2 linked regions of the Macaca fascicularis genome follow. The protein of the gene in region 2 purifies or fractionates together with the protein of the main gene of each other region. This does not show direct contact. Links are inferred from orthologs where the notes say so. Each region holds a gene or a part of one and is shown on either strand. Other genes may lie near its edges.

The links. Proteins that work in one complex are often made in the same cells at the same time.
Region 1: the proteins of CDK13 (region 2) and CCNK purify together in Homo sapiens (affinity purification with mass spectrometry; 4 studies listed by BioGRID and IntAct, counting the BioPlex papers as one, with this or other methods). This does not show direct contact. The link is inferred for Macaca fascicularis from reciprocal best matches to the Homo sapiens genes CDK13 and CCNK.

The regions. Positions count from the first base shown.
Region 1 is NC_088381.1:167,585,604-167,589,434, reverse strand, and holds the end of CCNK (cyclin-K), read right to left. Parts: intron 1,964-3,831; coding exon 1,338-1,963; 3' UTR 604-1,337; downstream 1-603. UniProt on the Homo sapiens protein: Regulatory subunit of cyclin-dependent kinases that mediates activation of target kinases.
Region 2 is NC_088377.1:90,410,014-90,413,934, forward strand, and holds part of CDK13 (cyclin-dependent kinase 13), read right to left. Parts: intron 667-3,921; coding exon 7-666; intron 1-6. UniProt on the Homo sapiens protein: Cyclin-dependent kinase which displays CTD kinase activity and is required for RNA splicing.

The DNA.
Region 1 (3,831 bases), on a different chromosome or scaffold from region 2:
TTTGAACTATTTTAGTAAAAGGAGTAATAAACAAGATTGTGATAGTGTCTACTTTGAGCTAGATAAATAAAGGCCTCTTTGTGAGCCTCCTGGCTGGGTGCTCAGTGCTTGTTTCCGTCATGGGTGGCAGGGTCAGCAAGCAGAGACAGGGCCAAGGCCCTTCAAGCACCTCAGATGGGGGCTCAGTCGGGGCCCCTTCCACAGACACAGCCCTGGCCCCTCAAGGTGGATGGTGAGGCCGCTGCTCCTCCAGCTGCCTCCGTCTCATCGCAGGCCAGAAGTGGAAAGGGTTTCAAACCCAAGCCTGTGTTCCCGTCTGTGTTCTATGCAGCAAGGCTTGAAAGTTTCAAGCTGGTTTGGAACTCAACCAGGTCCTCCAAAGGAAACCAAGGCAGGCACAGGATGGGTGCAGGCTGGCTTGGCAGGCAAATGTGCCGATCCACCCAGAGTGCCCTGGGAGGCAGTGGGGTTGGCTCTGGCTCCTGTGAACTGCAGCCAGGCCTCTCCCGGTGCCCAGGGTCCGGAAGGAGGGGCTTGTACAATGTTACCCGGGGACTGCGAAGGCCTGGAGCCCTACCTTCCACCCATTAACAGAGAAAGGGATAGTTTCAGAACTGCTTTTATTTGGATAACTGACTGAAGGAGTCTCATTTGTAACCAAGATGGAATTCACAGTATGTCGTTACATTCACACTTAAAAAATGTATCTCTATGTACAGGAATTTGCAAATAGATGTAAACATACATTACTTTCCAAGTACATTTCTCCCCTTCTCCTTGGAGGAAAAAAAAAAGCCATCCAACGAGGCAACCCCTTCAAAATCATTTTAATACAAAGGATGCAAACATCTATAAATCAAAAATGTGGTTCTTCTGACCCTTCTGGGTGTCATGGGAGAGAACGTCATTGAATGAAAATGACAACAGCTTGACTTCAGATGGAATTTGACTATTTAAAATTGAGTTTCCAGGAAAAGTAGGCACTGATTTCTAGAAGGAAATTAACTCCTTACCGAAGCTATTTATTGAGCCAATATGGCTGGTTAACATCTTCACTAGTATAAAGTAACCCAGTGCAGGACTCTCGGACATTAGCTGAACCAAGTGTACACAGTCAGACTGCAAGGGCGCTGATGAGGCTACTCTGAAAGCTGGCTGTCCCTGTCCTCTAGATGTGAGGACCACCCTGATTTTATCCCAGGGGCCTGGTCCATTCTTCCCATACTGCAACTGTCGCGCATTATACAAGGTACCCTGCTGCTTACCCACTTCAACTACTCTGCAAGTCGATTAGAAAAACTTGTTAAAAAAAACAAAGGGGGAAAAAAAGGCTCACGTTATCTCATCCAGGCTGCCCGCCCCAGCCCCCCAACTGGAGGCATGCCAGGTGGGGGAATGGGCGGGGGCACAGGGGGCTGTCCTCCAGGGGGCACGGCAGGAGGTGGGTAGCTGGCTGGAGGCAGGCCCAAGCCTGGAGGAGGATGAGGGGGGACTGCATGGGTAGGGGGCAGGCGTGGGGGTGGGGGTGGGAAGTTGGGGTTGTAGGTGGGTGGGGGTGGAGGGTAGCCAGGAGTAGGGGGCGGGATGGCAGGTGGGGGGAAGGAGGCTGGGGGAGGAGGCACAGGTGGTGGGGGCGGATTGGGTGGGTAGACATGGGGGTGGTAGGGCAGGTGTGCAGGTGGGCCGTATGCGGGGGGCAGGGCGCCGTAGGAGGGTCCCTCGGTCTTCATCATGGACTGCAGGCTCTGGTAGCCCTCTCCAGACATGTAGGAGCTGGTGGTGGACATCCCAGTCATGTAGCTGGAGGGCGGCGGGGGCGGGGGCCGGTGTGGCAGCGGCGGTGGCTGGTGCACAGGGGCCGGGTGAGCCGGAGGAGGAATCTGGACTTTGGGGAGGTCAGTGGCATCCACAGGGCCCGGCGGCTCAGCCTCACCTAAGGCAGCAGCGAGGGGAGGCTTCCGGTCTGCAGGAGAGAGATGTGTTGGTGCCCGGCCTCTGCAAGCAATAGCTGCTTTTTCAGTGCCTCCTGGCCCTTCAGGGCCATCTTTACAGAGGAGCAGGGAGCAGCTGCCCCCTCCTCTGTGGCCCAACACATGGGCCCGTTCCCCATGTCCTGATGCCACCAGATGTCTCCCCACCATTTGTCAAAAAGGCCCTCCACCCTGTCTGTGATGAGCTGGGGTTTTCCCTCCCTCAGCCCTAACCACACCACCCGCAGGCAGTCTCGGCAGCACACGAAGCCCCCTTGTGCCCTGGCCCCAGCCCCCTCTTCCTAGTGTAAAATGTGTGGGGGCTCCCCTGTTTTTCTGCCTTCAGAAAATGACCCCAAGAGTCAGGGCCACACTGAACTCCTGTCTGCAGCAGTGGCATTTTGCAGAAAGCCTCAGAGTTGGTCAAATGAATGTGATGGCATTTAAAATAATTCCGTACAAGTCTCTGACATTCCCAATGTACCCATCGAAGCAGCAATTCAGGTTCTATTCTACTCAAGAGGGGCTAGATCAAACCCCACTGCGTACTCTCAGATAGCAGCCTCGAGAGGAGTGTGTGCAGGCGTGCTGCGCGTGCGTGCTACGTGCTGCGTGTGTGTGCATGCTTCGTGTGTGTGCGTGCTGCTGTGTGTGTGCGTGCTGCTGTGTGTGTGCATGCTTCGTGTGTGTGCATGCTTCGTGTGTGTGCGTGCTGCTGTGTGTGTGCATGCTTCGTGTGTGTGCGTGCTGCTGTGTGTGTGCAGCAGGGATAGGCAGCACTAGGTGTCAAGCACACCCAAGATACTTGTGCTCAGAACCAGCCTCAGGCCCCTCCCGCAGCGCCTCCCAGCCCATGAGCCCTCATGCCCCCTTCCGCCAAAGCCTTATTTAACACATTTTGGCCTGTGATCTCTTGGTCACCATCAGACCCCTGGAAAATGGCATCGGAACACCCCACCACAAGTAGCCAAACACACAGAATGAGTGTCCTTTCCCAAGGCAGCACAGGAGACAAACCATAGGCACAACATTTCTGGTTCCAGAGAACATAAAGAGGACAAAGGCCATGAAGATGCTTCTGGTTCCCCAGGCACTTGGGTTAGGGAAGGCAGAGCATGACATCCTGGTTGTGGAGACGTGGCCATTGGCACACAACCCGTTTGACCTTGCCAAAGCGAGCATGAGCAGGATCGATCGGGCTGGTAACAGGTGTGCCACTGGGGACTGCCTGTGCAGATCAGCCCTCGCCAGCCACTGGGCAGGAAGGCCATATATGCCTGGCCTTAGAGAACTGGCTTTGGCTCCAGGTCAGGGCCAGATGCCCTGTGGTTCCAGAAGCTGACTAAAAAAGAGGTGCAGAAAAGCGCTGACACCCTTCAATGCCTCCTGTGCGTCATTCCACAGCCACCTGGGCCACAGGCCTGCTCCTCTACCTTGCAGAAGCCAACTCTTCCAACACTCGACCCTGCAGCCTGAATCTTCAAGTCACCAGTGCACCCGCCCTTGTGCTGTGTGACTGAGCTCGAACAGCAAGTGGGGGTCTATCCTCGGCACCCCATCCCCTCTGTACACTTGCTCCTGACCAAGTGCCATACACTGCCACCAAACCCCTCCCTAAACATCACTGCTGACCTGAACACCTCTTCCCATGGTCTAGGGCCTCCCAGGAAGCGTGCTTCCCTCCGTTCCTCGTGGCCCAGCTTTACTGTGCCTCCCAGGCCCTGCTCTTTCCAGCCATGGCCTCCTGGCAGTGTATCTGGTTCCCAGGTCCCACTCAAGTCCCAGGCCTACTCCTGGCTGTCTGTAATGCGGGAGGGAGCAGAGCTCTGAGGCCTCCACAGCAGCTACTCAGTGCCCTGGA
Region 2 (3,921 bases):
ACTTACCTATCAGCTTCTTTATCTTCAGGCAGCATGGGAGGCAAAGGTAACGGTGGTAATGTAGAGGTCACTAAAGCTACATGTTGCTCCTTCTCCTTGGCTCCTATGCTTGGTGTAAGTGGTTTGGTTTTCTCTTTAAGAGATACTGGTTCCTCCTTTGTAGCAGCAGATTTACTCTCCTTTCCAACTATGACTGCCTTCTTGGCGGCTTTATCTACAATCAAATTATTTTCCACCTTCGTTACCTGAAGAGGTGGCTTTGTTTTTGCTTTGTCATTTTTTAAAGTTCCACCACTTGAGGGAGAAGGTGCATGTTCAATTTTAATTTTCTTCACATCCTTCACATGGTTTGTTTGTGATGCACTGGCACTAGTTTCTGTGTTCCCCTTGGTAGGTGTAGAAGTGTTTGAAGCTTTTGCAGCTTTGGCAGCAGCCTCAGCAGCCTTAGTTGCTTCTGCAGCTTTCGCTGCTTCTGCGGCTCTTGCTGCCTCCGCCGCTCGTGCTTTTTTATTCTTGTTCAATTCAGCTGCCAGGCTACTCTTCAGAGTTAGTGTGCTAGGAGAAATACTAGAATGACGACTTCTGGATCTAGACAATCTGTGCCTGCTACGAGATCTTGAATGCCTAGATGAATATGGGCTTCTGCTTCGGGATTTGCCAGACCGTCTGGTGAGAAATAATTAAGATTTAGTCAGTAATTCAGAAAGGTTCAGTTTGGAATTTACAAAGACAGTGCTAACTCGAGTTTATGAAATAAAATAGAAATTTTACTTAATTTCAAAGTTACATTTTCGAAGGAGTTTTGAAAAATAAAAAGTTCTTTAAAGTAGAATATTATTTGGTGCTCATAGTTCTCTTCAAAATGGATTGCCCCGATCTTGCTTTGGTCTACAAATGTAAAAATGAGGAGGAAAAATGTGACAAGGCATCACTGCTGTCTCAGAAAAAAGAAGTAGGCAATAAGGCTACATCAATGGTAGTAGTAGCAGCAGGGTAAAATCTGACAAATCTTTTACCAGGAGACAGTTGCCACATCTCAAAAGTACCTTACTCAACCATAAGTTCAGAAATAAACAGTGCTCTGTCTACGGCAAGAGTGAAAAAGACAAGACTTACTACTGGGCAATAAATAGAGTCTCTTAGAGTTCGTTTCAGAAAGATAGTTTTAAGAAAATGTACAGCCAGGCGTGATGGCTCACGCCTGTAATCCCAGCACTTTGGGAGGCCAAGGTGGGCAGATCACGAGGTCAGGAGTTCGAGACAAGTCTGGCCAACATAGTGAATCAAACCCCGTCTCTACTAGTACTGCAAAAAGTAGGCCAGGGGCAGTGGCTCAAGCCTGTAATCCCAGCACTTTGGGAGGCCAAGATGGGTGGATCACGAGGTCAGGAGATCGAGACCATCCTGGCTAACATGGTGAAACCCCATCTCTACTAAAAAATACAAAAAACTAGCCGGGCAAGGTGGCGGGCGCCTGTAGTCCCAGCTACTCAGGAGGCTGAGGCAGGAGAATGGCGTAAACCCGGGAGGCAGAGCTTGCAGTAAGCTGAGATCCGGCCACTGCACTCCAGCCTGGGCGACAGAGCAAGACTCTGCCTCAAAAAAAAAACTCTGCAAAAAGTAGCCGGGCATGGTGGCATGCGCCTGTAGTCTAAGGTAGGAGAATTTCTTGAACCTGGGAGGCGGAGGGCAACAGAGCAAGACTCTGTCTCAAAAAAAAAAAAAAAAAATTACATTCACACACATTAACTAAAATAGACACAAGCATAATCACTTTACTCACATAAACACACATATACAAGATAATATCTTATGAGCTACATAATTTCACACAGAAAATGCTACAAACTAAAAACCATCTAATCACTCTTAATCTGAGGCTCTGATACTTTCAAAATGAACGAGAGTAAAAGTTAATATACGTATCATTTAAGTCTTCAAAGTACTTGACAACGATTATTTTACCATAATATTAAACATTTACTAGTTAAGTATTATTACTCCAATTTCTCAGAAGGGAAAAGAACAGAGAGGCAAAGTAAAAATAACTCCCACAAAGAACTATGCCACAAATAGTACTATAGCCTGAACTAGGACTTAGGTTTTCAGGCTCCTTGCTCTATAAAACAATGAGAAACTAAATCTTGGAAACAACTTGATAATGAGGCCATTCGCTTCTCAAAAATTACTGGAAAACATATATTTAAAAATATAGTGGCAACCAAAGTTCCCACAAAACAAATTTAACACAGTACCAAGTGAAAGGAAGCTGAGCTTTTCAAATCCGTGCATTACTAAGACTTTTAAAATATACTCAACAAGACAAAGACACTATGATAATACATTCACGTTATCTCATTTAATGCCCACATCAACCCAGTAAAGTATGCATAGATAACATATAAGAAATTGGGTAAAATATTACATTACCTGAAGTCAACACCTGAACTCATTAGTAGTTGTGTTGCTTATTATCTTACTACAACTACTCTATCTCCCAATACTTTTCTGCTCTACTCTGTGACCAATGATGCTGACCCCAACAGATATGCCTTCTGGGTTCCAGGGCTGTCCTGCCACTGACAGAAGATAAGAAGGCGGAGAAAGGCTGCATTATTTCTTCCTACCTCCCTCCCTCCTCATGGCCACATTTTCTGGCAGAAGCTGCATCCCTCCACCACCATGGTTGCTGTGAGGCACCCTCTTCACAGCTCTCACGAGGCTCCAATAGCACAATATTTTTCCTGCCCCTTTGGGCTTCCCTGTTTCTAGTAAAAACATGCCTTATGGGTTCCCTTAACCCAGGGCACCTCTGCAGTCCCTGCATTAAAGTCTCTTATAACATCTGAGTTGGATTCTATTTTTGCCTAGAACTCAGGTCTTAAACTCAGCATTTTTTTTTAACTCTAAAGTAGGCAGGTTAACACATTAACACACTGCCAAGGAGCTAGCTGGCAAGAATGTGGAGAAAAGGGAACCCTTGTATACTGCTGATGGGAATGTAAATTAGTAAAAACACTATGAAGAACAGTTTGGAGGTTCCTCAAAAAGCTAAAAATAGAACTAGCTATCTTACAATCCAGCAATCCCACTCCTAGGTACATACCCCAAAGAAAGGAAATCAATAATACTAAAGAGATACCTGTGCTCCCATGTTTATTGCAGCACTATTCATAATAGCCAAGATTTGGAAGTAACCTAAGTGTCCATCAACAGATGAATGGATAAACAAACTGTGGTACATATAAACAATGTAGTACTATTCAGCCATAAAAAGAAAATGAGATCCCATCACTTGCAACAGCATGGATGGAACTAGAGGTCATCATGTTACATGAAATAAGTGAGGCACAGAAAGGCAAACTTTGCACGTTCTCACTTATTTGTGGGAGCTAAAAATTAAAACAATTCAACTCATGGAGACAGAGAGTAGAAGGACGGTTACCAGTGGCTGGAAGGGGAGTGACATAGTGGAGGGTCGGGAGAGGGTTAATGGGCACAAAAAATACAAAGAATGAAGGTGACCTACTACTTGTTAGCACAACAGGCTGACTATACTCAATTTTTTTTTTTTTAGTCAGAGTCTCGCTCCAGCCCTGGCTGGAGTGCAGTGCTTCTGCGGCTCTTGCTGCCTCTGCCGCTCGTGCTTTTTTATTCTTGTTCAATTCAGCTGCCAGGCTGACCTCGGCTCACTGCAGCCTTTGCCTCCCGCGTTCAAGCGATTCCCCTGCCTCAGCCTTCTGATAGCTGATATTACACGCATGCCCCTACCACGCTTGGCTAGTATTTGTATTTTCAGTAGAGATGAGGTTTCATCATGTTGGCCAGGCTAGTCTTGAACTCCTTACCTCAGGTGATCTGCCTGCCTCGGCCTTCCAAAGTGCTGGAATTACAGGCATGAACCACTACACCTAGCCAATA